Linked DNA regions of Neodiprion lecontei. The protein of the gene in region 1 interacts with the protein of each later gene in a biochemical or structural test. Links are inferred from orthologs where the notes say so. Each region holds a gene or a part of one and is shown in the gene's direction. Other genes may lie near its edges.

Region 1 (17,405 bases):
ATCCTCGCTGTTGCTCTGCTCAGGTGTATTCCAATCTTCGCCCTCTCCAAGCTGCGCAGACGTATTAGTCTTCGGAGGTGTTTCCTCGATTCCGCAACTGGGTTTGGTTTGTTCGTTGTTCTTTGTCATCATCGTCTTCATCATGTCACCAAGAGATGATTTTATCGGACCATTCGCTATCGATTTTTCTTGCCCCTTGCGTGTCTCCTCGAGGGATGGAATATTCAAATCGTCTAATGTTTCTAAATGAAATATTTATTCACAAAATAATGGCAACTTCATTCTTCCGTAAAAAATTCAATAAAAATGGTTAATCTTAGCTTACCTTTGCTTGTGTCAGGTAACAATACGCGAAGGGAGATGATGTACTCGAAATTTTCAATAATCTTTTGGAGTTTAGATTCGTGGAAAGGTTTCGTTTCGTCTGTGTCCAAAGCTGTGGCAACGAAAATTTTATTCGGACCATAAAATCCCTCAGATTGAAGCATATTGTCATCTTTATCTAGCAACCGGCTGTCCGAAGGATATTTTTGTAGGACTAATTTTATCTGCTTGGCATCCAATTTTAACAGTTTTGACAACTCGAGTTTGTATTCTCTGATGGTCTGAGTTAATAAACCTCGCACACTTATCGGACCGTCAACAACTTCTTCTTTATCAATATCAACAACAAATACTTTCGTTGCAACACCTGGAATAGAATAGAATCTCTTGAAATATTTTGGTTGAAAAAATGTAGTAGAAATAAAAGTCAAATATCTGATACATTGCATCTTCCTTTTATCTATCTTGTCAGAAAAACTCACCTCCTGGCAAATAAGTCTCAAACTGCTCGTCCTTCCGACGTATTTGAAGCAGGAGATCGAATCGGCTGTTATTACGCCAAATGTCACCGATCGGTTCCATCAACTCGGATCCTTCCCAGCTTCGTTCGATCAAATCTTCGTTATGATCGTAACTAACTAATCGACATTGATCTAGCTTTACTATTCCTTCTAAACCAAGCCTTCTGTGAGCCACCTCTGTCGTTTCTTGTAACGTTTCATCTTGCAATACGTAAAGTTTTGCATCTGTGAGCCTGCCCTCTTCCGGGTGATGACAATACACTTTAAGCTTGCACATAGACATCTGTTTTTCTCTGTTCTTTCGGTCGTTTTCTTCACTTTCTTTCATTTTCTTCAGAAGGTCCTGATTGAGATTTTGTAAATAAAAAGATTTCAACAACGTGATAATATTCTGCCAGTAACTAAAAATCTATTAGATTCACAATGTACCTGTATGTGTTTGGGAAAGTTTACTGCTTGCATCGGCAGCTTGTTACGATGTGGATCTATTTGTCTATACATAAGCATATAAGCATTTGTACTGCTGCTGTATGCTCCACTATAGTAAGCTCGAGTAGGTCCACCACCATATGTCTTTTGAATATCGTCATAAGTTATCTGCAAATAAATTAATCCGTGTATGTTATTAAGGAGGTATGTACGAGTACACAGCTCAAAATCTTGGTAGATTCTTGGACTTTGTACCTCGACAACTAATTATTCGATTTGATTTGGGTCTGTTTTCTTCAAAACTATTTAGATCAAGCTTCAATTCCATATTTTTTAAAATTTGGAGACACTATTCTTGAATTGTTCATTTTCTTTGCCGCGATCTAAGTTTTCTTATCATATCCTTAGTTACTTAAATAAAAAATTCGTAAATTTTGTACGACAAATATAACTTTTGTTAGAGAAAAAAAAAAATCGGATCGTAACAAAGAGGATAAATTATCTAATAATACTGTCTCCAAATTTTAAATCAATCATTCAAGCCGTTTTCGAGATATTGTGAGCATCTCAAAAAATGTCACGGAGCGAACTGGTTGGCGTTATTATCAATAACAATGATTCCTATTAATTGAGTCTAGTAAAGAAAATATGTGAATGAAGTTTGATCTACGCACTTTTGAAGAAAACAAATCCATATCGAATTGAATATTTGGTTGTCAGAGATACGAGATTGAAAAATTCACCAACTTTTTCAGCCGTCTACTCATATGTACCCTTTCAAACTAATCAAACGACACTACATAAAAATTAATGATATTGGCAAAAATATTTGATAAAACGAATAAGACCTGCTAACATACATCAATTGTTAACATTTTTATTTTGCCGTTTTGCTAGTCAAGATAATTTTCGTAATAAAATAAAGCTCTTACCCTCGTGACACTCTGATCATTAAAGCAAAACCATTCTTGAGTCATGAGATCTTTGATATACGCGTAGTAATGACCCCCGCTTGCACTCCCACTGTGAATCATGATGGAGAAGAGTTCGTACTGATATGGACCTTTATCAATTGCACGATTTCCAGAATTCTTTTCATTTTCATGATTGTGATTGCTGCAACTTGAGGTTGAGGGTCCATTGCTTACATCTATACCTGTCAACGTAAGAAGGTGAATATTATTTATCAAATTGAATGAATTGACATTTCGAAAAACAATTTAGGCAAAAATAGTTTACTTTTCGCAAGAATGGAAATAAAAAATGTATGATTTCATTTGTACCTTCATCATCATCTTGATCGTGATTTGTAGATTGATTAGTACTTGCACTGCTGTTATCACACGGGGGACATTCGTCGTCTAATGTTCCACTGTCTGTCGTTGAACTATCATCACACTTTACTCCAACGCCAATGTCCTCCTCTCTACCTGGAGACTCGTGAGCAGATGTTGATGCGACAAAGGAATTGAGATTTAAAACATCGGGAAACGTTACCCTGTTACATAAGTATATAAGCATTACATATTGTAGCAATATGTGACGATCGGTATAGCAGAGAACTGAAGACAAACAAAAAAAAGAGTTAAAGAAATCCAAATCTTAAGAAAGTCAATTCAAGACGAGACTTACTTATCATTCAGCTTGATTCTGTGGAGAGTATTGTAGTCAAAGTCAAATCGCTTCAAATGTAATGTAAGAAGGTACGGAAATTTTGAAAATTTCAACCCCTTATGTGCGTTACATTTTTTGTTACACTTTTCACAATGATACTGATTTGTCCCGTCCAGTGTTTCAGGTTGCACAAACGCTCGCAAGGCTTCCTCCTGTAGAAGAATCACAAATATTTTAATATAATGTGAATTGCCGTCCAAAACAATGATAGTACACTAAAAAATCTCCAGTATCGTGATTTTGTGGCCTGAAATTGAAGCATGCTCACCACGCTATTGTACGCGACATTGCTGCTGAATGGCCGAACAGGTAAAGGAATGTCCAGAAAAGTATCCTCTCTAGACTTTTCAGTACTACATTCTAGGCACTTTACATAGTCGATCATCTTTCCTGTTGAATAATGATCAGCGTGTCAGTGGTAAATATCATGTATAATTTTATTACAAAGGTATTCGTTGACTAAAAAGTATACCTTCGTAAAGCCTATTGATCAGGTCAGCCTGCTGTGTGTTTTTAAACTTCTGTTCCAGGGCATCAAACATCACTCGGCACAGCTCTTGTATATCGTGCTGTTGCCATGCTTCCGTTGAGTCCCAACCAAAGCTTTTCGTTAAAGAAGTAGTCTCCACTGCAGGCTTTGTTGACGTCTACTCGGCAGATGTAAATCATAGCATTAATGAAATTTGAAATACATAATTTTCTTTCGAACTATACAGAATATTCTAGAATATCTATTTGCATCCCTAATTTGTGATCTGATTTATGAAAACTGACCTGCAAATTTAGAAATAATTTCTGCAGTTGATATGGAATACTTTTGGCCTCATCTTTCTCTGAACCATCGACGTATTCCCAGTTGTACAAAGCATTCCTAAACTCTGGGGTCATGTAGAGGGCTTGCAAAAGGCTGTTTAGGTAACACGTCATTGCCTGATTCACCAGACCGACGTAACCTAGAAGATTACAGCTGTTTGGTCAAGTGAATTATTACAGAGGAGTCGTTTAATCAGTGTCTAATCATTTCGATATACAAAAGCAACTGGTAAAGTAAAGTTTGAACCAGTTTTTTAGAAAGCAAAGTTGATCAATGCTAACATTGAATAGTTTGCATAACGGAAAAGAGTTGTATGTAGTATATTATACTAGTTATAAAGGATTGTGAGCATTGAAGAACAAAATTTGAGAAAAACGTTACGGTCCAAGACAATTTTTCCAATCATATCATGTTGAATTTTTTACATGTAAATGAATAACTCATTGAAATGTTAGCATCATGCTGCATAATTGGCTTCATATATCTAAATTTGAGTAATTGTGTCTCCTATAACCGGATTACGAAATATATGCTGTCAAATGACGGAACAGGCAGGTTCAAAGTGTCATCCAAGTAAATGTACAGTCAAAATTAACATAGTAATACCTTGACTATTAACTTTCCCCCTTCTACGTCCTAGAAGAATGATCAAAATTCAAAATTACTAGATGAAAAATAAATTACAATGTAATTGATGATGATATTTGAAGTCTCTCTATCGAGCTCAAAGTCAACCACTTTCTCTGTATTGAAGCAGCAAAAACTGAAACGTCCGCTCTGTTTATCAATAAAATTTAATCAGAATATTGATAATCAGCCATATTTCGTGATAGAATAAAATGAGTTGAACGTGAAAAAAGCTTCCTTTCATTGCCTCGTTGCGACGAAATTTACTCTGAAGTATCGCGAGGTGCATCAAACTTACTAGTCTCAGGCTTGATGACACTTTTATGATTAAAAGTGAACTCCTGGATTTGTGACTGGAATGCTGGAGCTGGTCGGTTGTAATCTCCAGAGGATGGACTAAACAGTGGAGTCTTGATGGATGAAATAGTTCTGTTGGCCGCTGCATCCTTTGAAGTGTGGCGAGAAACGTCACTCACGACCAGTGTGTACTTTGTCTCGTTACTAAAATTCAATCCAATTTCCATCAGGTTTTTTTCCTTTACTTCGTTTAGCTCGACCTGTAGGTATAAAAAAAGAACATAAATTTACATATATTGGAGAGAAGTCAATTCACAGTATTCAAAGTTTTTGGTTCAAAGCGAAAAGAACACGGGTGAAAATAAACCGACTGACCACTTCACCACGTGCACTTTGTAGCACCAGCTCAAAGCTGTCCACATCGTAGGAATAATGTTGAGCTACATAGTTGAAGATATCAATAACTGTCGTCGATGGGTGAAGAGAAAGCTTAAACTTTGGCTGGGCATCTCGTGAAGTGCAATCACGAACTACGCACTCCACACCACAGTCTTCGACGGCACACACCATAGCCTGTGAATGTATAATATAGGTTTAGTCGCAGGCACATTTCGTGCGTTTATTCTTAGTTTCAATTTTACTCAACTTATGATATTACCGCAATGTTAGTCAGTGCGAAGTGAATTTGAAATCTACCACAAGCATTCGGCGGCACCTTGACTATTTCGTTATATTAAGTTACACGATAAAATGTATTTTTGTATGAAAATAAAAATAGATCTTTCTCGTATGCGAGGAATGAACACTTTCCAGTCTTTCTAAAGATTTTGAAACACGACTGGGTGGCAATTGATATACATAATTCAATATCACATTTTAACCAATAACCATTTCACTTAATTTAGGGTTAATCAAAGCAATACGTGTACCAGACAGAATAACTATTTGTTAAAACTGCAAACAAATTAGAACATAATTTTATCATCCAAGCAACATAATTAAAGTATTTCGTGAAAAAAAAAGATGATGAAGTAACTCTAATTAAACTGCGGACGTAAAATAACTATTTGCAGGAACAATGTGAAGTTATAAATTCCGGTTTAAATATAGAACTACTTCCCAAGACAACAAGTCGCAAGGATCACAATGCGGATGGGAACTTTCAAGTTTCTAAGAAAAGCACCGAAAGCACACAGTCGCATGTTTAACTGGCACAAACGAATAAATAGTTCACAATGATATTTACTGATTCTAAGATTAATTGGAAGAACTTATTAACAGATTTCAGGCAGACAAAATTTGGCAGCTCGCCATGGTGAAGGTAGAAAATCAGCGAGATCTGTGTGATGGAGTGGGATATCGCTGCTCTGCAGAGCAAGGTAGACTACAGGAGCCTATACACCCTGCAGCTATATTTAGCTGATCTAAACCAAGAGTTTGAAAATGGCTCTCTTCTCTGAGATCAGTACCACCTCCCCTTCACATATTTACACTGCGCATTGCTTTTACTCGCCTTCACAAGCACACTAATACCTAAGCCTCTCTTACACTGTTGTTGGATAGTTGTTTTTCGAGTTGTGTAATCGTCCTCATCGTCACCCCAAACTTTCCGCACTATGTATATTTATCTCGGCTAATATATATATTTCTGTACATACATATTGACGAGATAATTATCTGGGAATATGAGGGCAAACTGATTCGCAAAACCTGTGACGAGTCTTTGTTCATTTTGCATCAAATATTTTCATTAAAATCAATAAATCGGATGGAAAAGGAATATTATCGGTGGAAATGAAGAAGAATAAAACCTGTGCATGCATGTCAGTACCTGATATTTGCAATTTTTTTAAAGACAACAGGATGGTGCGAAATTCTGTTACAGAAGTTATCAGCCCTGGATACAGTGAAATCTGTTTTTTTTCTTCATATGCTATAGGTTCAAAATCACAACCGATGAACACAGACACATTACTGATTAATTACAAGGATGGTCAAATTGTGAAAAATACTACAGTGAAAATCAATTTAATAAACTATGTCTGCTACTAGTGGAGTCGGATCTGCATTTCCGAACTCGGAATTCGATATCTTGAAAATCATTGAGCCGGTTGGGCTCAAATTCATGGATTAACTGATTATCGGCATTATCTGAATACACTTACTGTAAACATGAGAATCTGATAATGTACGTCGGTTAGTGATAGATAAAATACCGAAGAGTTTTGATAAGATCGAATTTCAATATTTTGAAAATTCATATCTTACATATCTGTATTGATTCATTGAAATTATCTCATTCCTTTGCATATTCAAACTTCTGATGGAAGTGTTTTATAAACAAGCAACTTTTCTAAACTGTTAACTTTTCTTTCTAGTAAAGTACTCTGAATAAGAGACCCGTACTATAATTTGCTGAAGGGAGATTAGTTCATTTCGCCGTAAGTTTTCCTAACAACAAGTGATGACATAGAAACTGAAAAATCAAGTACTAGCATTTTAGAATAGTTAAATTGCTACATTGTCGTAGAAAAAGTGTAACAGAGGCATAAGCATATAACTATTTTCATGCAGATACGCTACAAGGATGGCCACAAAACTCAAGGCACCGATTTCCAGACTTTGCCAACACTCCGTCACAAAAATTAAATCCTCCTGTTACATAAAAAAATTTTGCACAAATTGTAAAATTACTTGATAAATTTCTGTTTTCAAGGTTTTCAAACCCTCTTAATATACGTTTTTGTTAATAATGTTTTCTTGACTCTTTTCTCAGTATAAAAACAGGAAATAATATCTGCTTTCTCAATTTTGTAATGCGAAATCATCTGTAGAAGCTTGTTGAAATCTAAATTTATGTAAATAATGTTTGAAAAACAGTATCAAGTGGTTATATTTTCTCTTAAACTGAATTTCAGTGGATTTAGTGGAAGTCTTGAGCAACTGGTCAATAGTGTAAATGAAATTTTCATTTCTTTTTCTTTTACGACATGTAAATAAGTATGGACGATGTGACAAGATTTTCAAATATCCCGTAGTTAATTACTACTTACATCAAAATCCACGGTCATCCTTGTGATGTAATAAATACGTCATATAGGTATCTACAATAAATTCGTACTATTGAATCATTAGGTACACAAAAATAGGTGATAACAAGCAAACGAAATATAGAAAACAAGTACAAAAATACATACTTCAATGTTTAATCACTCAAAAATCTAATCTTGAATTACATACCACCAAATAAATAGCCAAATAGTAACCATCAAATAAATGCACAGGACATTAAATGATTATGAAAAAGCAAAATTTCTAGGTCTCTTACTTCCAACACTCAACTCTGAAATCTAGGGACAATCATCGCAATTGGATACCTTTCGATGGCTATTCGAATCTCCTGTCTCGATCGACGGCAACAAAAGAATCTCGTCACATTGTTAACAGGTTATGGAGGAGAGTGAACATGCTTTACAGTGCTTAGTTTTACTGAAAAGGTTTCAAAGAAGGCAAATCTCACCTAGTCTTTCCTTTCTCTCTTGGTGATAGTGAAAATATTTGAATCGATTTCAACCTTTGGTAATGCGCTGAAGCTGCTTGAGATCTGTAGGAAGAGAAAAAAGAAAAAACCAACAAGGTTACGTCGAATGTATGTAGATATATACGTCATGGTAGTTGGCAAGTAGGGGCTGCTAATTTATTTTTACGTTAAGTGAATAAATAAATATTAAAAATAATGAAGGAAATCTGAAGGCGTAAGATCGGGGAGATTGCGTGCCAGTAGAACAAGTGAGCAAAAGTAGATTCGACGTTGTGAAGACGCCGGTATTTATATTCCTTCAAATCAAATTCCGTATAACTAGTCTTACGTAATTAGGCAGATGTTGTGAAAAAAAGATTACGTATTCGTACAGCAAGGTGAGTTTGAAAATGAAATGAAAAGAATTTGAGAAAAAAGAAAAGGAGGTAATAGAGTAACGAGAAAATGTTTATTACAAAGTTTCTCTCAAATGGCTGAACAACCGACGTCAGAAATATGCGTCCTGAACATGATTTTACCGTGAAGTTATGTAACTATTTAAAATGAGAAAATCTTTATACTCGGTAAAAATAATTGCGCAGTGAGTCCTATTGCGAGGAATACGTTTTTACGCTTGCACCGAGTATAAACTATCGTCAAAAAATCACTTACCGAATTCACTGACACATGTGTAGCAATCACGTTACGCCATATTTCTTTTTTTTTAATTTAATTTTTTCTTTTCATGGCCTAGCAAGTCCGTGGACCTAGCTTGGATCAAGCTACCACGGAACAAGCATTGACTACAAATTGTTGAGATAACCGCTTAGAGTCACGCTTTTTGAAGTTCGGCAAGATACTATGTGAAGTTAGCCGGCGATCTTTGAATTTGTTAAAAATGCATTGCGGGAACCTCTTAAATGATTCGCAGATATTGCAAAATCGCAGAATTTCCAAAGAATCCATGTGACAAATAACTTTGCGTAACCAGTCCGCGGGTAAGTGGGTCTCAGTGGGCCCTGGGTAGGCCCGGGGCCATAAGAAACCGTGTTGGTGATACGGTAGCTTTTTCATCGGCGAGAGCCATTTAGCACGCAATCCCGAAAGACACAAAACCCAGTTTTCAGTAATCGTCTAAGCACAAATGAGCCAGCCTTGGGTAATTCAAAAGTTCGTTCTGTTCACAAATAATTTACCAACTATATTTTATTACAATCAATTGTGGCTTATTATGACTTCGCAAAACATACGATTCCCAGAGAGCTCGATAGGAAAAAGTCGAAAGCCATGCAAAGCGTACATTTATAGAAGAAAATTAAAAATAGCAAGGATCATGGTGTTGACTTAAGAATATATTTGCAAGCGATGCAAAGTTTATGTAAAAACACTTCTTTGCAGCATAGTTGCGAGCGTACAACTCAATAAAAAGGGAAAGAACCCTGCATTCTGGTGTTGTAACATTCTAACGAGACGATCTTCTAACGATTATTCATATCCCGCAAGTTTTCCCTTACAACGTTCGAACAAAGTGTAAAGTTGTGAAAAAGAATATTATTGATTAAAAGTTGCAAGATGCAAACTGTAAAATTCTGAAAGTCCTAAAATTTAAGGTTGTCAAAAATTAGCGCCAATATTCGAAGTAGATTCAATGAGTGGCCAATCAACGTGGGTCATCGCGATACTCTACCTACAATTATTGGAGGCAGATTCGACCGCCATTAACCGCCATCGGTTGCTGACACTCAAGGATATTTAATTAACACAGGCTGTTAGCCAAATACCGATTGATGTTGAAAGACGCGTTGACTGTTTACCGATGAGATTAAGCAGATTGAGAAGATTTCCGATTTCCCGTTTGTTCTCACTAGGACACCGACCCTAACAGAACGGAGCGTAAATAAGTGAGCACTCCAAAGGAGTGAAACCAAGTCATAAGTCCTTTGGCAACATCGATGGTTCGGTAAAAAAGTATAAACGTGATATTTTTCCAATTACCTACTATGATCACCGCTTTTTTGTTGTTAATTTCAAGTTTCAACCATTGCTAATCCCGCATTGCACCTTCATCTCTTCTTCTAAATGTATAACCTGTCCGACTTCGTTAAAAATGGAAAACAGTGAGTTGATTTTTATCTTTCTCTTTCCGTTTCCAAGGAATAAGCCCTTTAAATTTACCGTTAACCGTTTACCCCACATCTGATACTGTTTTCTGCCTCATTTATATGCTTTAATTTGTTTCACCCTGTCTTGTCAGCAAACGATTAACCATCGATTAAATTACTATTCACAGACACAGTTGATCAAAAAATGGCAAAGATTTTGAGGAAACACTTGCACGCAGCTATCATTCAACATCGAGCTTGATGTACACTTATAATCCAATTCTTATTATTAATTGAATATTGATTATGTTAGATGAAGAAGAGATGGAGGTTCAAGAAGCAGATGAGCCAGTAATCCTGGCTCCTGATAATCGTGTCAACACTCCTATACGGGAAGTGGTACACATATCAGAACCAGAGACAGACCAAGAAGCTCAGGTTATTGAGCATAGTGAACCAATAACCTTTCGATCTGTACAAGGGGAAGAGAATGTACCAATTTTCCAAAAACCACAAGCAAACAACAATAACGAAGAGCTTCTCGAAATTGGTGAGTTATTTAGTAATATTCAAAGGTGCAGTAAGCACTTACATATTGTTTCATCATAGTATCAAGTCATGTTTCCTTTGACATCTCAAAGTCATATGAAATATTTGACATTGATTCAAGGTCCAGATAATTATAGCCCCTATTTGATGTTTCGGATTTCTTTGGGACCGTAATTGCTTCTTGCAAAACAAACTAGTATTAACAGTTACCGTTGATCTACCTAAGATAATTCAAATATATCTCGATGGACAAAACTCATTTCATAGGAAACAAAAGAAAAGACCCAGGCTCGGATGAGGAGGCAGACCTAGATTCGGGTCAATCATGTCCGATTTGCATGGATCTGTGGAACAACTCTGGAGAACATCGTCTCTGTTCTTTACGCTGTGGACACCTGTTTGGATATAGTTGTATTCAGCGTTGGTTACAAACTGGATGTAACGCAGGAGCGCGTCGATGTCCTCAGTGCAATCACAAGGCTTCGGCTAAGGATATACGCGTATTGTATGTCAAAAAGTTATCAGCAGTTGATACTAGTGAAGCGGACAAACTGAAAGTAGAATTAAGCAAAGTTACAGCAGAGAAAAGTCGGCTGCAGATGGAACTGGAAAGGTACATAATACGGCAGAAATTATTCGACCAACAGCTGGCTGGTATGAAGCAGCGAATATTAGAACTTGAAAGTCAGCAACTGCAAATGGGAAAGGAATATCAATCGAGCCTACAGCACTCAAATTCGCAACCAATGTTAAAGAAATTTCATCTTGAACGATCGATTGACATTTGTAAAGATGGCGGGTGCAGAGTTCTTGCCTATAATGCGTGGTACCAGACCTTAGTCATATCACAAAAATCCACAAATGCCTTATTTTCTGGGTATGGAATAAAAAAAATTGATTCCAGAGAATTTCGATCTCGACAATTCGTCTTCCTGCATTCTCAGGCCATCAGAGACGTGTCGTTCAATCCTTACATAAACGAAATACTCCTTAGTGTTGGATTCGACAAGTGTGCAAAGTTGATGGACATCCACAATAATACAGTGGTTCACAATTATCAGACGGATTCTCAGCTATGGAGCTGTTGTTGGGCCGGTAATAATCACAATGTCTTTTTGGCCGGTGCCCAAGACGGTTCTGTCAGACAATTCGATATTAGACAAACGGCTGGCCCAATCAGCAAAATAGACGGACCAGGAGACAGATCACCGGTCGTCGCTTTAGCAAAGGTTGCACCAGCTTACGACAGTGGAATACCGGCTGGAGGGTTCATAGCTTGTCGCCTGAATAGTTGTTTCGCATACGAAAGCAAAGATGCGGAGTTTGCAGGCAAGCAAATGTTTCTTGAAGGGCCGTTTGTGTCAGTTTGCTACGATTCCGAAAGCAAACATGTCGTGGTTTCGTCTCGCCCAAACCCCAGGCAACCGCAGGCAAGGCATACTGTTTGTACAATTGAAAAAGGTACCGAGGATATAATCGTTTGCAATATCGTTCACACTTTCCAAGGTGGAAATTCACAGAAATTACTTTCTAGACCGTGTCAGATAAAGACTGAAAATGACACGCTTCTAGCCGCTCATCAAGAAGCTACCAGCTCTATACCAATTTGGAGCATATCAACTGGTAAACAGATCTATAATCTTCCTGTTTCTGATCCTGTGATAGACTTCTGCGCCTTTAATACTAAAAACAATGACCTCTTTCTAGCAACGCTCTCTCAAAAGAAACTAAGGGCATATAAATATGGTAATTGATTATTTGTAAGATAAATGCATACAGACGTTGACGTCAAGTGTTATTAAGGAATAGCATGATGTGAAATCATAATCGAATGTGTTTTATTTACTAGTGAAATAGAAAGTGAAAGAAACTTGTTTAAACTATACAATATGTCATATACGTGTGTGTAATTAAATTTATGTGATACCGATTATTGTAGCGTAAGTATTTTGTATCGAATAAAAAAATTTTCTTTATAGATTAGGCACGTTTTTTAAGAGTGCTATAAGCCCTGTTTTTAAATATTGACCGAATAATTTTTTTACTTCCAGTAATTCAAAACTGTATACTATTTATATTTTTCCACGATCAAATCAAGGTGGATCAAATTTTGAAAGAAGTATTGAAAAAAAATTACTTTTATTAATATTTGAGGCCTATTAATGTACATTGATCTTATTAAATGGTATAAATCCTAAATTTCCCAATATGAACAGAGCAGAGTTTTTTTTTTGTTTTCCTGTAAATTCAAATTCACAGATCCCAACCATTTGTCCCAAGTTAACAAACTGGTTTGCGAGTAGTTGGACCTTGACTCTTGCTGGCGACACTTCAGACACAGCCTGCACATTGTGAATGATTGAAAAATGCATGAAATATTATGAAACATAACTATCAATTTTCAATTAATTGGAGTACATCGTATGCAGGTAAGATTTCACACCTGGCAATAGAACTTTACTCTTAGAATTACAATCGAAGTAAGATAGGATGTAGATTAAATTAATCAAATGTTCCATTACGTGAAACGTATACAACATCACTTAGCAAACGTGCACGGGACCGACCATGCGATATCCTGTCGTACCACACTGCCGTCTTACACTCCAAGTTTTCTAAGAAATGTATTTTCATCAAATAGCTACGTTCAATTTTTCGCCATAACCGTCACTGTAATTAAAATTATAAGTTTAATTTTGCTGATTTCTTGGAATTTTCTTATCGTCGGTATAATGAAAAGTAGTGTAAGTTTGCAAGTAATCAAACTTCAAAAAATGTGCAAAATTTAAATATTCACAAATCAAGTTTGGAGGCTACCGAAATTTCATAAATACGTTTATTAGGACTAAAAGATACGTTAATTTGATTAATATACACTCAAGAGTCAAGCGAAACCCCGTTACAATCAGTCGATATGCTGCAGGATATTATAATCAGCTAGTCAATCTTCAAATTTTGACAATTGAAGAAGTGTTTAATAATTTTATTTATATTCGAACAATAAGAGTTGGGGGCAAAAACATGTAATATCATCATTCATTGAACTGACAATGAGTTACACTTGAGTAGTACAACCGTTAGTAACGCAGTCAATTGGATACACACCTCCAGCAATGAGGTTTCACATAAAACTTGAACTCAGATTGAAGAAAAATTTCAGGGAAGCACTTGGCAACTGTGTTAGTGCCTAATCAAAGCAATTATCTTCGTAGATTTTAATACGTGTTTGGTTCTTAAATATTTTACTAATGCTGTTTCTAAGTGGATTATTGGGAATTGATTAAAAAAAAAACATTCATATGTCTATTCAAACATAAATGTCGCTTCGTCTTGTAGATTTAGAATTTACAACTTATTCTCGTAAATCGTAATAATGCCCTCCTCTTGAGTTACATACCTTATGAAATTTTGCTACTTAAAACTTGTTCATCAATTATTATTGTTTCTCGTATCTATTTTACATGTTAAATGAATGCTAATAGTTAGTCAAATTTGGGATCACTTCCAAAGTTATCTCACCATTGCAATATTGTCATTACGAATGTTGGGTTTTTTTCTCAATTATTTGAAAACACGATGGTATGCTTTTGTGACAGTGACATTCCAAGAGGTTGCTGCCAATTAGTAGCTGCTTTTTATGATACATAAGAATACACAGTAATCACTAACTGAATAGCTGTTCGGTGGCACGTTCTAAGTCCCAATTGTAGGAGGATAAGGCTACTCGTGCATTATGTTCTTCGATCCCCATATCAGTCAATCTTCTTATCTTGTCATCGAGATCTGACATCTTAGCTGGTCCTAAAAATATCAGGCATTTCTTGGTATTTTTTGATATTACAATCATTAGTTCGCTGAGGTCTTTACTCGTAAAAAAAACTTTAATAAATTTCGTAGTAGATAAATCTTGTACCACCAGCATACACAGACGTCCAATGTTTTGCAGTCTGACGAAACATTTCAGGCTGCTCCTTATACTGCTTAGCAACCACAGCGTCTTGTGGATCATCAGGCTCAGCAGCTGACAATAAGGCTTGTAACGATAACAAAACTGTTCTTAAGGTCATCGCAGCAGCCCTGACAAAGGATGACAATTATCGTTTAAAACACAATGCAACTAAAATCTGTTATGCAATTATTCTGTCGTAAGGTGATAGAACCAACGACATTGCAGAGTGCAAAATTATCACCCGATCAATTATATTAGTAACCATTATTGGACTGCAACTTACCATTGGTCTTTTAATATGTCCAAACATATGGCGCCTGTAACCGAGGATATATTTGGATGCCATATTTTTGTGATAAAACGAACCTGAAATAAAAAAGTGTAAAATTCAATGACTTCAGATCTTATACTACATCTTTGTTCATGATGGTTTTGGTACCTACTTTGGGTGGATTGAATGGATACGTTTCAGGTACTTTTATCTCTAACACGAAATTGCCACCTTCATATGGAGTGTCGGGTGGTCCTGCTATTTCACCCTTTAATTCTGTGAAGCTATCATTTACTAGTTCTACCTTAATCGCACATTTTGCCACCTGAAATGTTAGAGAAAAGAGATAAACATGATTAGTCAATTATTGTTTGTTGAAAATGCCAATAAAGTAGAAGAGGAAATCATTTGACAAGTTGACCATATTCAATATCAACTTCAACTATTGAAAATATATTTCAACTGAAACACAACACTATCTTATCAGCATATTTAATGAATATTATAATTGTAGAAAAGGGAAAGGCAACCAAGCTATGCACCGAGGTTGTTATGTTTTATCAACACAAATATTATCGCGATTCATACGAACAGTACTGCTCAACAGATACATCGTATTGCTGAGAAATAGTAATCTACTTTTAATAAGATTGCCGACCCCCTGTAGCCTTTAATCTGTAATACTTTTATAGAAAAAATGACCAAGCCAAGTTTATCAACGCGACCCGTAATGATGTGTAGAAAATAACAAAGTTTCGAAATGTCGACTAGCGCAAGAAGCGGTCTGAAGTAAGAAAATGTGACGAGATTCAAAGCAGTTTGTTAACAAAGCGTGGAAATCGTGATAGCCTGCCTACAAAGGGGTCTTGGAAAAACAAAACTTGACTGCAACCCAAAAATCTATGGCAAGCCCAGAAAATGTCGAATTATTGTCAACGGAAGAAGAAGAAAATGGTAAGTAAGCTACATTTATTGATATCTTTTCAAACAGGAATTTTGGATGGTTAATTAGTGACTCTAAAACAGTATTCAAATATCCGGAGAAATGATGAAACCTAAAAGATGAACCTGACAGAGAACGTAGATATTGAAGAAATAAAGATTCTATGGAAATGAGTATGAACTGAATAGGATATTTCATGTACTAAGAACTTGAGATTCTCACGAATTTTGTGAAAAGGATAAGTTTTCAATGAAAATGTTTTTTTTCTAATAACAACAGACACTTTTCAGACGAGGTAAATAATTGCGCAAGCAACTGTCAGAGGAAAGTTTGAAAATTATAACGAGCGAGGAAAGCGAGATGTGCCCTCAACTCAAAATTGTCTACGACTTGGTACGTGGAGAATCTGTTTAGCCGTTTGTTACAGGTTAGCGTTGCATAATATGTGAAATTCTCTCGCGATCACGCGTTTGGCTAAATACTGGTAAATGTACTGGGTCGTTGAGAAGTTGCACTTATTCACTCACCTCTTCGCTTTTTATAACCTCTTTGAACTCCCGTTTGATTCGTTGCGCCGCAATGTTCGCCATGTCTCCCTATCACTCCCAGCTACTCAATACACTGACATAATTTACCGCCGAATGTACGGATGCCAGTATTTACCTCGATTTAAACAGCTCTTTTAATTCATGTACTGTTGTCGCAACCTGTATTTTTTTTACCCAAATAACCGCTGGCGGTTACATACAATTTGTCATTCGATCACAGCTAGCGCCACATTGATAGGAAAAGACGAAAAGTAGAAAAGTGACTGTCACTTGCCTGTCTCTTTAAATTCCGACTAGAGTCACGCCGCGATTACTTTGGCGCTAATTTGAAATTTTTTTTTTCCTACCAATCTCGTTCGAGATTTTCAAAAAACTTATTCACTGACTCATGTAAATATGGTTATATATAACTTTTTTATTCAATTCTTCAACAACTACTTATGGAATACGTAAGCAATGACGCAGGTTTTATTCTACGCCTTCACAGATATTGAGTGGTGAATATTAACTGTTTTACTGTCAGATCTTAACGCTGCAATGCACTTATATAAATACTTTACCGAACGATTCTATTAATCTTTTACATTAATTGTAACGTAAGTGCATGAATTAAATCAGCATAAATAATTTTATAATTGAAGAAGAAAGTTGAAAAAATAACAAATTGGACCACGATGTCACGTACAAAAAATGTATAATATATATGTAACATTATACTGTGACAAAATGGAATATAATATGACAGAACACCGATTGATAATAAATTAACTATGACCGGATTAATTAGTAAACTTTAAATTATCTGCTGACTTATGAAACGAATAGTAAATATGTATG
Region 2 (16,382 bases), on another chromosome or scaffold:
TGTACACACATACATACGTGCATACATACATACCTGCACATAACAAGTTGGGTGTGAATTGTGTTCTTTTGAAACCATATCTAATATTTATCTATGCTGTATTTTCGTGAGCTTCGTATACAAAGTGCTTTTTGCGATAAAGTTTGTTGAACGGTTTACCCAATGTATAATTTGAATATTCAAATATGCATGCACTTCCATTATGCATGCAATTATTGAACAAAAAATAACAGGAAAAACAGAATAAAATATAAATAATTTTTAAAATATTTGTTGAGATAAATATTAAACGACATTATTATTATTATGCTTCTTATAAATGTTAAAATATAACTTTTTACATACTATATATGTATATCTGTTGTATAATCGGTAGATACATTACATTACATGCTACTATTTCAGTTACTATATGTAAAGGTACAAACGATAAAGAGAATAAAAATTTATTTTTTAGATGCCGTTGCATCACTGACCTCTTGGCATTTAATTTGATTTTTCTTTCCGTCATTATAAGTAAATATTCGTTATCATTACATGTGTTGCAAGATTCATCAGTATATAAAAATTTATACAATAATATCCTAGTAGAGACAATTTCTTATCACAGAGAATTTTTAGGGATTTTATGGAATATATCAGTTCATTACGAGTGAAATATTTGTCCTATAATGGCGAAGTTTCTCACAGCTGAAGCCATCTCTGAAACTTCCGGGTTCGGATGCATATGCAAAGCTGGATTTCCAACTGCTGTGACAGCAGCTGCGTGTGCATTCATTCTCTGCATACTTTCGACATAATTTTTGTTAGCATGACCCCCCAGAGAATTATTAGCGTTATTTAAATGGTGCGATGAAGAGAGCATAGGAATAATAGGAGCCATGACCGACGAGGTGTTGAGCCCAGTTGGCGACTGGGTATAATTTTGCGCATTTTGCTCAGAAACGGCTTGATAGTTGCTGTATTGAGCCTTGCATTTTTTTTCATGGACAAACAAGCTACCGGAGTGACTATAAGCAGTGCCACAGATTTTACAGGCGTACGGTTTCTCCCCAGTATGCGTAAATCTATGTTCCTTCAAGTACTTAAGTCGTCGAAACGATTTTCCACAAGTTTTACAGTGGTAATTAGCTTCTCCCGTGTGAGTTGTAATGTGCGCTTTCAGAGTGCAAGATTTTGCAAAGGCTGCACTGCAAAAATGGCACACAAAAGGTCGGTCTCCAGTGTGAGTTCTTTCATGATTAATGCAATTTGAATTGGATGTAAAACCACGTCCGCAATATTTGCACACATGCGGCTTATAGCCAGTGTGCGTCCGCATGTGGAACATGAGTCCTGTATTTTGACGAAAAGTTTTGCTGCAAATGTGACACAAAAATCGTTTGAAATTTGAGTCCTGCTGTTCCTTGGCACGCTCATGACTTCTCAAGTGTTTTTCTAGCTTTGATTCCTTTTCAAAGGACTTGTTACACTCATCGCAGCTGAATGGTTTCAACTTTTCATTCTTCTTGTCAATATTTTTCACCCTTTCAGCGCACTTACATTTATCCGCTTTGCAATTGTCACAAAAGTCTTCTCTGTTCTCATGCATGTTTGCCTTGTGCTTCTGCAATGATTTCTTGGTCACGTAAGATTTACCACAAATTTCACACGGGAACCCCTTTCCTTCGTTGTCGGAATCCAGTTCCTCTCTTATCCAACTGTTTATTAATTTTATTGCAGATTTGTCATCCGGCGGTTTTTGAGGCTCCAAGCATTCTTTGTCTTCATCATGCCCATACCTGTTTCTGTGGCTTTTCAATCTGTCTGGCCTAAAGAATTTCATGTTGCAAACATTGCAAACAAATTTCTTCTCGTCGTGTATCAACATGTGTCTCTGTAGAGATTTTTTTGTAGAATAACACTTGGTGCAGTGTTTACATCTATAAAAAGCTAGATTATTAAAAGAATCCGTCTCGCTTTCGCTCTGCGAATCCGAGTTCAGCGAGTCTGGGTTATAGTCTTGATTATCATTTGACATTTGCAGACGTTTGCTGATCTCTTCATCCCCGCTACTACTTTCCTGATTACTCGGCTCCGCCTTCACGATTTTAATTCCACTGTTCCCATCCTCTATACAATTTTTTATTTCATTTTCCGCCTTTCGTCTGTCCCTAATTTCTTTTAGTATAGTGAAAACTTCCCTAGGATTAGCTTTCTTGTGGACATTTAGGTGTCGGACCATAGTATCTATTTTTCTGAAGTGTTTGTCACATATTTTACAGTATACAGGCTCTGGTTTGAGCTTTGAGACGTGTAGTTTACTGTGCTCAACCAGCTTGTCCAGTCTAAAAAATTCTTTACCACATTTATCGCATTTGAACTTTTTACTATCATGAGTTAATGCGTGTCTCTCCAGCGACTTTTTCGTCGAATAAGATCTATTGCACTTGCTACACTTGTGAGAGAGCTCTGATTCCAAATTGTATTCCATCGATCTAGTTATCCTATTGCGAGTCATCCGCTTTACGCTTGAATAATCCTGCTCTATAGACTCCACCTTGGAACTTGTGTTTTTTTTTATATACTGTCTCTGTCTTTCTTTGTGACTTTTTAAATTTTCCATAGATGTCATTCTTTTGAACATCGACACCCTGCGAGTTCTGTACGACTCTCTTTTCACTGAGCTTTTCTCCCTTTCTGCTTGCGGCACATCAACATTAATGTCTTGCAAAATTTTATGCTCGTGAACTTCTATGTCCTCTGTACAATTGTTCCAAGGAGATACTTGGATCTCTGTGGTCAACCGATTACTAATTGGGACATTTTGCTGCATTTTGGTTTCCTCTTCAGTAATGCTGACTTCTTCTTCTTTCTTGACACATGACGATGACGAATCTGTTTGACAGTACTGATCCTAAAGAAAAGCAAAGATGATAAAGATGAGTCAAGATAACCGAAAACAAACAGTTGTCAGAATGATAAATATTCCCATTAACTGTACAATAGCATTACGCACCTTAAAACTACTGGAAAGTTTCAAAGTGTTTCTTCCTGCTGGTTTGCCATATAATTTTCGCAACTTTTGGTCAGCTCTTTGACACTGATCACGAAAATCGTGTGCGACGCTAATTTTAGAGATGCAAAGCGTGCAAATTTTGGCAGGCAGCCCATCGTCCTCCCAGATCTAACGTGGATAAAATGAAATTTGTCGTTTATTCCATTACATAAAATAGAAGCTGTAGCAGAGTATCGCTTCAAACTATACAAACTAAACTAACCTCTATGCCACCGTAAAGCTGGAGCTTTTCGGACAACGTAAATGTGTTGTTAGTATTTGAAATCTTGGCCTCATTTCGGAAAATAAATTCGTTGCCAGGATCGGACGAAAGGCAAACACGACATACATCATCCAAGTTCTCTCTCGAGACACTCGTTTCAGCATTCACGTCCATCGCACGTATTTTGATACACTAAATTTATATCGTCTCTGCCATAAACACGAAGTATCCCTCTTACTTCGTGGCCATAAAGCATCAAAGCTGCTGGAAGCAAGCGCCAAAGCGCTGTTAACAGAGCGGGAAACTTGTATATTCTACTGTATTCTAATTGATGGCGAATAGTTCGGACAGAATCCACGAGAGAGCGCAGAACATTTAGTCAATAGAGTTCGGTAATCTTGTCGTAATTCGTGGTTTACGATTTGAAAATTAAATGTACGTTAGGAGCTGTTGTCATTTTACGAGGGAATCAGTTAGCAAAATCGAAGATTTGAAGTGCAATAGCGTTATCATATCAACAGCCAGTTGGAACAGAGTTGCGTGTGAAATTGCCAACAATTCGAGGAGGGTTAAGATGTAAATACCGTACAGGCAGAAAGTGGAGGTTTTAATCGGATCCCTCAGCCGTTGACTGAAGATCTTCAGTCAACGCCTCAGCTGTGAAGCCGCGTTGTTAAACCTCCGTGAGAAGCGATCGCAAAGGTGAAAATGCCGCGAACAAAGCATATCCGTAAAACAAAATCGATCGTGGCGGGCGAGGACGGCGGTCTGCTACTCAAAGATTTCGAGAAGCAAGTGCAGCTACGGCTGCACAAAATGCAGGTAGAATTCGAAGGGCGATTGAACAGGATCGAGACGCACTACCGCATGGCATCTTCCCGTCTACCCCAATCACTGACGAAGTTGACGCTCCGCGACATACTCCAAATAACGTCAGACGAAAACGATGCGAGCGAACAATGCGAGGTGAGCTCCTCTATCGACGTCGACGAGACGAATTCGCCCACCCTGAGGACGGTCAGGCCGACGAGGGCCTCGAAGCGCACGACAACCGCTTCTGACGACGGTTACGCGACGGAGGTCGGAACCACGACGAATACGACGAATCAAAATCATCTGGCCGTCCCGGCGGCCTCGACAAAGACGCGTAAAATGAGGACGCGGAGTTCGTCCGCAAGCGGGAAAACAAAACTTTGCGAAATCACCCTCGCGCCCAAAACCTCCAGGAAAGAGGAACGAGGCGCTTCGTCTGCTATTAAAAACAAATTCAAGACTCCAGCGCCGCTGCTCAAGCCTCACGGAAAAGAGTACGCCCTCGTCACCCCCAAAGTCAAGCCCAACACACCGTTGAGCGTGATGAGACGACCTCGTCAGGGTGAAATGGCCCTCAGTATGCAGGGCAGTCCGCTCCTAGTGACATCTGTGGTTAATGAGAATGTCGCCAACGTCAATGTGCCCTTGGAAAATGGAAGGGTCCTTTCTCTGCTGCCCAACGATGGACTCCGGCTATCGTACCTACCGGAATTTGACGCAGAGACCAGACGTCAGTTAGTTACCCTAAAACAGCACTTAGATAAGGTCATCGGGTCCTAGTATGTAACGTTCTGTACTTCTCGTTCTTATTGTCTTCTTGATTAGATTGAATCATATTTTTCTATACATATTTAATGTAATTTTTATACACGTTTCCACATCATGGGACTCAACGTGATTAACTACATGTGAGTGATACGTGGAAAAGATAAGGATAGACTTGTTGGTGTTTGAGTACCTACTTTATTCACTCGGATTATCAATGTATTAATCCCTTAAACCACCTGCTACTCCATCTTATGTGTATATTGATACTCATCGTCTGAAGTAATTAATTTACTAAATTACATGTCCAGTTTCGTCATTACAGCTTTATTCAATTCTTTCTCCCTTTTATCAAGGATTAGTGCTGAAACACTTGCGTGTCGAAAGTTTATATATATATTTCATTTCAAACAGTATTCATTCTTACATTACAATTAGTATAATCCCCACCCTTTATCATTATAATTTTATTAGAAAAAAAACTTGCTTGTAGTAGCAGTTTGTAAACATATTCAAGTTAAGGAATTTAATTGTCATGAGTCTTTGAATATCTGTATCTAAAGAATGTGGATAGCAAATATTTCAGAATAATTTACGTGATTTTTGTTTCATAATATCTGACTGTAGCAAAATTTAAAAAATATTTGGACATTGATCAATTTTCTGACCAACATGCTCTAAAACTGTGCCACACTTTGTCTCATTCTAGAGCTTTACATAAAGAGGCAAAAGCTTTTGAGAATGTGAATGAAAGAGGCTGATTAAGGACATTTCTTTGTTTCTACTTAATATTAATACATAGCTTATAAATGCATTACTAAGAAGTTAGACAAAGTAAGTCGTGCCTTTCAAATATGACTGACGCAAAGAGTGTCTTGTGTGGTCGGTGAGCACTAATAAATTAGATTATGAATTTCTAACACACTGTATAACATTTGCACCTTCCTACTTGGATGTGATTGATTTTATTATACTCTATACAGTTTATAGATTCATACTTTTATTATAATTGGCATTTAGAATTCCTAGGTAACATTAACTGATTGAAAATTAAATGATAGGATTTTGTCATATTTATTTGTTGTAATAAAATACAAAATGCATTACTGGTTTGTGTTAACAACCCGTTTCTTATTGATGCAGTTTACTTGAATATTTATAACACTTTCCTCACAGATCCGTAAGACACGATTAAAAATATTGTAGCATATTGATGGAAAATACGTTCATCTGGCGAGTATTCTGAAAACAGAAAATAAGAAGGAATGTTAACGATACTGATCGAAGTAAAAATATCAAAACTTGTTGCATCCATAGGTTGTCCAGACAAATTTTAAGTGTGAAATTTTCAAAATCTTTGTGACAGCATTATAGCAGTAACATGCCTAAATAATGTCAATCTGTAACTAATGCAGCTAAAATACCCCAGAGAATTATTAATATTACTTTTTTAATATGAAAAAAAAAGTCAAATACAAAGTGGAAGCAAAATAGTTTATCGAAAACTGACAGTCTAGAAAAAATTTCATATCGTGGGCACATATAACACATGTCGAGAAGTTTTTCAGTATTTTCGGACGACATGCGCTTGTCACACAGAGTAATTAATTTTAATTCTGGTGGTAAATACCGTGACGAACTGTGGATACGCCAAACTCCCCATCTCCAATCGATCCAATGAGTGGAACATTTGGAAAAAGTTTTCTGAAGATTTTAGCCTCGACGTTTGGTTCCGAATACCAGCTATCGCCTCGTGCACAACAAGAGAACATGAAACCAATTGTGTGTTTTTGCAACTTGACCGCATCCCTCAAGGCTGTCAATTCTTTTTCAGCTTGTTCCTTAGTTTTTATACGGCTATTTAACACCATGGACCACGTTGAAACACCTGAACCGCAGATACTGAGGCCAGCAATAGGTACACTTTTTTTGCATATCCTCTTATCACGCGAAGAACTGCATACCATTACCCTGCGAGCGATGCCACCCCAAATCGCAATTTTATTTTTAGCTGTGTTCGTTCTGTGGAATGACAATATCGTGCAAGTATTATAATTGTGAAAATTTATCATGTCATGTTTCATACCACATTGTTGAATCCATGTGCTTTACCCATATGAAACAATCGAGTTTATGACCGATTCTACGTGGTCTGGATCTGGGGTTGCAAAAATGTTGCGTGTCATCCCACCCAGGAACATTATTATACATTTTATGTTTTCTTCTTTTGGAGATATTTTACACAATTCCCTTGCTAATTTGTTACAAGATTTAGGATTTTGCGTTGAATCAAATTTGAGGTAGTCCAATTTTGTGGTATGAAAGTATTTGATTTTCACATCAGGAATCTCAGGGAAGAATATACTGGATAGACCTCTAGCTTTGTTTTCCACTTCATCATAAATAGTGCCACTGTTTGTCAATGTTATATAATCAGTTTGAGGAGGCAAATAATTACACAAACAATCTGAAAAATTTGAATGTCAGTCAAACTAGAAAACGAAGATGAATGACGAATCTCATTATCGATGAAATTGTTTTAACACACTTGATATTACTCGATATTTCAAAGTTCTTGACAAGTATTATTTTCAATTTCCCATTTCTTTGCAGCTTGACAACTTATCAAACACAATGCTCAAGCAATTGAGTTCTAATGAAAAAATATGGGAAAAAAACAAATTATTGGGAAGGTGAGCAAATACTAAGTATTTCAAATTTTAGAGCTTCACCAGACTTTACTTTCTCTCGTTTTCTAGATAGCTTGCGTCGATGTGATGTTACGTTAAGCCTCACACAGTACCTGGCTGCCAAATTTGACGTCTAGTATGAAAGCCATTAAACACCATTCCAACACTTGGCTGGATGAACAATTTGTCCACAACATATTTTGGATCGGTAATTTTTTTCGACTCAGTATTAGGTTCAAGCAAAAAATGTTGTGGTTTCAGTCGAGTGTGAATTTCTTTTTCGGCAGCTTCATTCCAGGATCTGAAACATATCGGTTCGGTGAGGGGTAGTTCATTTTTATTTATTACCTGGAGAACCAAGTTAAAAAACTAACTATTCTTAACTGTTCTCGTTTTTTAAATAATGGAACAAAAAAACGTGGCTCGACCGCAAGAGGCAGTTAAAATAAATTGTTGAAGAACCAGTTCCACAATGGAGAGAATCGTTGGATGTGGAATATTTGGCCGCTAGAACACATTACAGAACGACCAAATTTTTTACTACCTGCAAACCATAGCCGCCCGAGTTAAATCCGTAATATTAAAATATTCTAGCATCAGTCGGAGTACGTCGTAGGTTATGCGCTCTCTACAATTTACACCATCCACATCGGTGTCAACATCCTTATTTTCTTCTCGATTAGATTGTCTCCTCTTCCGTGTCTTCCTTTTCGACACATTTTCCATGGCTACTCTTTTCAATTATTCCACGATAACAGTTTCTGTTTACAATATGCCAGAGGCCTTCTACCGTACTCAAACACAAAGAATCAATAAAGGCGACCGACAGCTGTGCGGTCTTCTCATGCATTTACGTGCGCTGATGCACTCCTTATCCATGAATGCAACTGCAATACGCATGCGCCAAGTGTTTGGCAGATGGCGCCACCAGCTTGTCTCGCGCAAACGCAAACGCAGAAATAAACATTTGAGGATTGCCATTGAATGGAAATCCCGCCAAACAGTAGACAGCGCGCAGTTTGGTGAACCTGAAAAAGCGTGTTGTTGCGATTTGAGGTTAAGTTGTGACCTTAGTTCTTCGTTATAAGAGTTAACAGAGTTGACAATGTGGGGCGAAAAAGCGTTTGCAAATGATGGGGGTGGGTACTTTAACTCTTCGGAGGTGTCTTCGCCGGCGGGGAACGCGAAACGAGGAGTGAAACGGGCCCAGAACATCGTTCCGGTGATGATGAAACACTTGATCGACAGCCCGGAGGAACTGCAAATCTGGGGTACGGACGTGCAGATAATAACGACCGTTGGTATCATCCGACGGATCGACCCTTCGGCGACGAAGATAACCTACGACATAGAGGACGAAACCGGGACGATAACGGCCTTCCACTGGATAGAGGCAGACAAACCCCCGCAGGAATCGGTCATCGAGGTGAACACCTACGTCCGGGTCTTCGGCTCGCTCCGCGAGCAGCACCAGAAGAAGCACATTCTGATTATGAAAATATGGCCGATAACGGACCTGAACGAACTGACCCTGCACCTCCTGGAGACGATATACGTCGACCTGAAGGGGGAGAAATTCGCTGGAGCCGGCAACATGGACGCGATCGGCATCCCGGACTCGAATCAACCTGTCGGACTGCAGAATTCGCTGATGGATTCCTCGATAATGGGAGCGAGCCTTGGCGGCATGACGAACGACCAGAAAGCCGTCTTCAAGATAATACAATCCGAAAACGACACGCCGAGCGGCATCGAGAGGGATCAAATCAAGGCGCGGGTGCAGCCGCATATCCGTCCTCAGGTCGACGATATACTCGACTTCCTGGCCGGGGAAGGACACATTTACACAACGCTTACCGACGATCACTTCAAAACCACGTAAACATGGATCATTCAGCGTCGATTTGTTTAAATTTTTCGGGTACTTATAGATCGAGTACCTTTGCCCTCCTCTTTTTTAAAGGAAGATGTTATGATACAGTACAATTACGTCAGTTAGATTAAAATTATTCCATTACCAGTCTATTTTTTATGAACCGCAAAATGATGAGAAAACAAAAATTGTAAATCAAAAAAAAAAAAAAAAAATACAGCACGCATTACATTTTTTGTGCATATTATTCCATGTTGTAACGTTTATACGCGTAATGCGTTGCCGATATATGTAATATGAATATCATACATATTTTTCTCAGCTTCTCGCTAGAAGTATGTTACTGTTTAGTCTTATGTTAATCTGTGTTCACTCTTTTGTATATTCGTAAAAGCCGTTATTCCAAAGATTAATAAAATGAAGCAAGGTTTTTTCTTACACACCGTATGTATACGCCTTATATCAGTTTCCATCTGCGCTCACAAGTTGTCTGCAAACAAGATGATTTTTATTCGGCTAACTTGTAATATGTTGAACTTCTTGAAGATAATATACTTTAGTATACATTCGTAAATTGTTGTTGCTTCATTCGGAATTCGAACCTCGATAGTAATCGGTATTTTCTATCCAACACCAATTATTTTTAATTTAAAATACTCTTTCAAATCGAACTAAACTGATTGCTCAAGCCAGCTGCCAATCGAATTTACGCGGGATTACGCGTGATACGAAAATTATTTACAAATGGCCGATGATGTCAGTAGAGCGTGTGATCAGTTTGAATAAGCACTGAAGTTTTCAATTCTGTGATGTATGTAATATGACGGAACGAACGGATTACATTATAACACCATGGGAAATAGAAATTCACGTACAAGATTTACAGCCTTCAAATATCGACGACATTGGTACTAAACGGTAAATTATTTTCTTATCCCAAGAAAATTCGATCATTTCGTACAAAGTATCTTGCGCTCTATATTTTCTCATACGGCATACAATATTGCGATAATTGTAGATGGCTGGAATTTCACAAGAAGTTAATGCTGTTAAACCAGCAAAGCGTTTTAGAAATCAGCACCTTGCGAGAAGAAGCTGTAAAAGAATGGTTCATCTCGTTAAAAAAGGTAAGCACGATGTTTATCTGTACATATGCTATCTGGAGGAAAAGTTTGATCAATACGAGTAAATTTTCGATATATGATCTGAGTTTCAATGATGTTATATGTTGACTACTACCTACATATGTTAAAAATACACTCTTGAATGTTACTCTGTACAAGAATTGAAACGAATCTTTGAAATTAACGGGAATAATGAGACGAGTAATTAAATATATCAGGTACTTTTGTGAAATGTCCCATTTCAGATGCCGGTACTGATTCATGAAGTGATTCAGATAAATGTGTGGAAAGAAAAATTATTTCCCCTTTTGATTGAAATAAACGATGAACCCACGAACACGTTTCTGCTGCACAGCGTGTTTTATCACGAAGTGATAGCCTGTTCCTTGTTGGAGAATATTCTATTTCATTCTGATACTGCAGAAGCCGTGGACGACTATGCCCTGGATTTGATTGATTACGCAGTTACCAACGTGACGAATCTGCTCTTTAAGGGCAAAGAAGAATCCGAGGACGAGTTCGAAGACACAAAGTAATTTATCACATTCAGATGAATTAACAGAATTAGACATGAGTTTTATTTTTGACTATAGAGAGAAGTTTATTAATCCTTGATTGATATCTTTTTTATTTATCAGCTCGTGCTTGGCAGAGTTGCTGCGAAAGAGGAAGGAAATTGAATTTGACATTAGCATGAAGTGTGTTTCGATTTTGCGATACATGGCTGAGTTTACTGACAGTTTATCTCTATGCGCTCTTTCACGAATGTTATCAACACACGACGTTCCGTACCTGTTAACTGAATTAATTGAAAAACAACCCTGGAAGAAATTGGGCGAGGATGGTAAACATCACTGATTCATTTCAAGTTGTTAATAACCGTAACTCCGCAAGTATAACTATTACATCGTTAGGGAATAAAATGGTATACAACGGAAAATGGGAAACGGTAAACGAAACCGACCAGGACAGAATGTGCAGAGTAGAGGGTCAAGTGTGGATAGGTTTACGGGAAATTCTCCTGAATCCAAAATGTGCCCCGTATTATGAGATCACGGAATTTAGAATGTCTAAACTGGTCAAGGTAATTCGAAAGAACTCATAGAATATCTAACTTTATTGCAAGTATGCGTGTTGGAATAATTTCTGAACCGGATTGACTTTAGCTGCAGAAATACCTACACGAAACCATACTGGATCAAATTTCGCCGTTGATAGAGTTGAAAAGATGGCTTTGTCAATTGAGCGTAATGTCCCAACCTCCGAATGCACAAAAACCAATAATTGTTGAAATGCTGCCTGAGGTGAAATTTCGTAATTACTTATTTTCAACGTATTACTCGTGAACAATTTGCTCGCTATTGTACTAGTAATTAAATCGTGGAATTAAAATCTTCTATTAGGTAAGGTCGTCTATCCTGGCGAAGTATCACAGGAAATGGAAGAAAATAGCTAAACTTCAATCTAAATCATTGTTCAATAATGACATAGAACACATTAAGAGTATGGCACAGGTTTTGAGCGAAGCATATGACCTGGACAAGCTCGAATCTATAGAACCAAGAAGGTGTTTTGCCTGTAAAGAAATTGCGTCGAATCGCTGTTCTAAATGCAAGGAGGCTTGGTACTGCGGCAGGTAAACTTGACACTCCATTACTTTCTCGAAAATGTTGTTTCTCGTTGAATTTTCGATTATGACATTTTTCAAACCAACTAATGAATACTTACATGTTGTAGGGAATGTCAAGTAAAGGATTGGACCCGACACAAGGATGTATGTGATAAGATTATAAAAAATAAAGAGGCCTACGGCATCAAAGATTGATAACACAGTACGTATTTCATTGAACCAGTGTTCAGGTACAAAGTTGTATTCTTCGCTAGTATTTTGTAATCCAACAACGAATATAGATTCACTGTTATTGAAAAAATCGTATCAAGGTTCCGAGAGATGAATAACCTGGTTTCACTATCTTTACCAATGACGTTGCAAAGTATTTGAAGTTCAACAGCTCGACAGTGTAATTCGATGCCTTGCGAATAGGGTAAATGGTGGCCCTGAAAAGAGCCGGTTGTGGTTGTCGCGAAGTAATCGTTGCAAATTATGCACGTTCGCCTCGAATACGACGAGCCAGCTGAATGTCTTTGGGCATGATCGTGACGCGTTTGGCGTGGATGGCGCACAGGTTCGTATCCTCGAACAGACCAACCAGGTAAGCCTCGCTAGCTTCCTGGAGAGCCATGACAGCAGAACTCTGGAATCGAAGATCGGTTTTGAAGTCCTGCGCAATCTCACGCACCAAACGCTGGAAGGGCAGCTTGCGGATAAGGAGTTCGGTGCTCTTCTGGTAACGACGAATTTCACGAAGGGCAACGGTTCCCGGGCGGTAACGATGCGGCTTCTTCACTCCTCCAGTTGCTGGTGCACTCTTGCGAGCTGCCTTCGTCGCCAGCTGCTTCCTGGGCGCCTTACCGCCGGTGGATTTGCGAGCAGTCTGCTTCGTACGTGCCATGTCGGGTTCAACGAGTCGGATGAAGAGTTTCGTAACGTGGATCAGAGCGTTTCCAACGAATAACTGCGTCACGAAATATCTGGCGTCTGTATTTACCAGCTTACCAGATTCCCGTACTGCACTTCCATTGGTGGACGGAGCGGTGGTGGAGGTTGCAGCCAGTCGTGGATATAACCATAGTGTATACATAATCCTTACACAATGGACATAACGTCTTTGCAGCAGTTACAGCAAATTGCGGCAGTAATACGGCAGCCTTCAGCGAGGGATTAACGTTCTCGTTTTGCGAATTTCTCTGACTTTTAAATTTTTAAGTATCATCATTCCTAATTTTATTGTAAATGGAGAGTCGTAAAGGCTCGAGAGAGCTACGGCGATCGGTGGAATCTTCAAAAGTCGCGACCGAAAAAGCGAAATAGTATTTTTCGTATCTAAAGTGGAACCATTTCAAAGGGAAAATTGTAACCACCGTAGACGCCGTCTATGCTTTGAAACTTAAGGTCACACTCTGTACGATTTTGGACGTCAAGTTCAACAACAAACCGGTCCACCGATTGTTTCCGATGTTGAAAAACTGATTCGCACTGCTATGTCATGTAATATACTATGCAAGATTCGCCCTTCGATAATTCAGTGTAATAATCAACTGGCATATTCTGTTCATCATTTCTGACCAAAGATTCATACGTGCTGCATGATGTACAATTGGACATCAAAACGCCATTTGATGTTACTTGTCATCCTTATTCGTTATGAGACTACGCCGTATAACCCTTCAGGATATTTGGTTCCAACCTTAGTAAATTATGAATTTATGTAATCTACAATTCAAATGTTTGTACGTACCGTACCACAAAAAATCATTGCATTCAAAATAATTTTTGCACTGATTTTAAGAATATTGCGTTGCGTATAGAAGAAACATTCGACATTCAGCAAATTACATTTACTATGTATAAAATGTCCCAGCTTAATTTTCTGTTCCAATTCTGAAGAGTCAAGTCATCATTCGATTAAACGTGAATACATGACAAGACATGTCCTGTGAAATGTCATGACTGTCATCAAGTTTCCATCTCTGATTAATCAAGCAAAGCGAATCGATTTACGCAATCAATAAAGATTTTCTTTATAAATTTTCGGAGTTCAATTGAATTGAGCAGAGGAATATACGAATTACGCCGTCGTTTTCGAAGAATCGATGAATTTACCACAGTACACTGAAAAGAATCTGGAGGGCGTATTTATCCGTTGAATTAGTAACACTGGGTTTAATGATTAATAAGGTATTTTGCGAATTTTAAGCAATATATGTATGCCAAGATTTGAAATGTGTACCAAAGTACATATAATTTGAAGTGTTCACGAATATGAGATATTAGGAAGGTAACAAGATGAGGTTGCGGATTGTGCAAGACGTTGTTCTAAGCATATTGAACGATTTTGTGGCCCTGAAAAGGGCCGTTTAAGGTTATTTGTTTGTGCAGTAAATTTAAGCCTTCTTCTCGGTCTTCTTTGGTAGGAGAACAGCCTGAATGTTGGGCAGAACACCACCTTGGGCAATGGTAACTCCAGACAACAGTTTGTTCAACTCTTCGTCGTTACGAATGGCCAGCTGCAAATGACGAGGAATAATCCTGGTCTTCTTATTGTCCCGGGCAGCATTACCGGCCAATTCCAAAACTTCAGCAGCCAAGTACTCCATCACAGCGGCGAGGTATACCGGAGCTCCAGCACCAACTCGTTCGGCATAATTTCCTTTGCGAAGTAGCCGATGAATACGACCCACCGGGAACTGAAGTCCTGCTCTACTCGAACGGGACTTTGCCTTGCCCTTGACTTTACCGCCTTTACCGCGTCCAGACATAGTGATAATTGTTAACTTGTGCGCGTCGAGAGACCCAAGCGTCAACGCTGCTCGTCGTAGAATGAATCGAAACGGCTTGCGACTACATATTTATACGCGTCAGCGCAAGTGGCGCGGACCAATCGGAGCGTCTGACTCAACGCAGCGGCTTCTGATTGGCTCGGCGTCGGTGAGCCAGCGCTTAATAAATAGGCGCAGCGAAGGTCGGTCTGTAGTTCGCCTTCTACGCTTACGAGTGAAGCATCGAGTCAGTACTACGTTACCAATTTTATCCTTTGACGATGCCACCCAAAGCCAGCGGTAAGGCAGCAAAGAAGGCTGGCAAGGCACAGAAGAATATCACCAAGGGCGATAAGAAGAAAAAGCGCAGGAGGAAGGAGAGCTATGCAATCTATATCTACAAGGTTTTGAAACAAGTACACCCGGACACTGGTATCTCCAGCAAAGCGATGAGCATTATGAACAGCTTTGTCAACGACATATTTGAACGAATCGCCGCCGAATCATCTCGACTTGCTCACTACAACAAGCGGTCAACTATCACATCTCGGGAAATTCAAACCGCAGTTAGGTTACTGCTACCTGGAGAACTTGCCAAGCACGCTGTATCCGAAGGCACCAAAGCCGTGACCAAATATACAAGTTCAAAGTGAACGCCACCCACGAATTTCAACTTATTACCAATCCAACGGCCCTTTTCAGGGCCACCAATTTGATCAGTACAAAGAACTGTCTTCCTCACGCCGAAACATGTAGAACTTAGTTGTCAAATTATTTACCTGTAGAATATTTCATAATCAATAGTATACTTAACTGAACGAAGAATACATACATTTGTAAAATTGCCACGGCATGTTGAAAATCCCGCTACTATGCCAATATTTCGTAAACAAGCAACGAAAACTTTCCTTCGTCTTAGTAACTTCGCTGGCAATTGTCTCTGAAACTTAATCAGTCTTTTCTGAGCATTTAAAGCTCGATATTATGTCAACTCGATCAAACGAATAACATATTGAACGCAACTTCTAACAGTGCTTGAATTAAACAGCACTTTTGGATAAGTTTCTTTAAAATATGGTTGTTGATCAAATACGTCAATTAGAATTTGCAACAGTGAAATGCGACACCATGCTGCGATAAACGTTTACGAATTTGCTAAGCGTGCTTGTTGTAAAACTTAATAATTAGATCCCAATTGCGTAGCGCTCACACCAGCCAAGTCACCATACATGATTAAATATTAGTACGAATGACGAAAGCGCACGTATCGCCAGTGGATAACTTTTCTATATCCAAATTAATGACCTGTGTAAAAATTTCATCCGATCTGCAGGATATTTACTTTTAGAAAATTGATTTTTTTACACGCTGAACAATCAATAGAAATCTTTAGATAATCAGCTGACAACTTGAAAAAAAATGGCAATTTTACTGGCAAACACAGAGCGTTAAGAATGAGCGAAAGTGATTAGATGTC

What was found.
Region 2: the proteins of E3 ubiquitin-protein ligase RFWD3 (region 1) and replication protein A 32 kDa subunit form a complex in vitro, tested with the Homo sapiens proteins (3 studies listed by BioGRID, with this or other methods). The link is inferred for Neodiprion lecontei from reciprocal best matches to the Homo sapiens genes RFWD3 and RPA2.

Annotation. Positions count from the first base shown.
Region 1 is NC_060261.1:10,707,476-10,724,880, forward strand, and holds E3 ubiquitin-protein ligase RFWD3, read left to right. Parts: upstream 1-8,986; 5' UTR 8,987-10,313; coding exon 10,314-10,323; intron 10,324-10,621; coding exon 10,622-10,858; intron 10,859-11,124; coding exon 11,125-12,611; 3' UTR 12,612-12,934; downstream 12,935-17,405. Other genes in the region: ubiquitin carboxyl-terminal hydrolase 47, read right to left, coding at 1-242, 326-691, 807-1,188, 1,275-1,442, 2,207-2,430, 2,558-2,772, 2,907-3,100, 3,217-3,338 and 5 more; ubiquitin-conjugating enzyme E2-22 kDa, read right to left, coding at 13,505-13,527, 14,527-14,658, 14,771-14,934, 15,090-15,172, 15,250-15,402, 16,548-16,610. UniProt on the Homo sapiens protein: E3 ubiquitin-protein ligase required for the repair of DNA interstrand cross-links (ICL) in response to DNA damage. Plays a key role in RPA-mediated DNA damage signaling and repair.
Region 2 is NC_060262.1:40,658,747-40,675,128, forward strand, and holds replication protein A 32 kDa subunit, read left to right. Parts: upstream 1-8,494; 5' UTR 8,495-8,633; coding exon 8,634-9,410; 3' UTR 9,411-9,848; downstream 9,849-16,382. Other genes in the region: zinc finger protein 420-like, read right to left, coding at 647-2,896, 2,999-3,166, 3,261-3,434; borealin, read left to right, coding at 3,969-4,853; F-box only protein 22, read right to left, coding at 5,995-6,080, 6,469-6,860, 6,951-7,305, 7,642-7,829, 8,073-8,254; zinc finger MYND domain-containing protein 10, read left to right, coding at 10,222-10,319, 10,420-10,528, 10,771-11,057, 11,164-11,369, 11,440-11,609, 11,692-11,829, 11,929-12,161, 12,263-12,350; histone H3, read right to left, coding at 12,628-13,038; histone H2A, read right to left, coding at 14,531-14,905; histone H2B, read left to right, coding at 15,187-15,558. UniProt on the Homo sapiens protein: As part of the heterotrimeric replication protein A complex (RPA/RP-A), binds and stabilizes single-stranded DNA intermediates that form during DNA replication or upon DNA stress.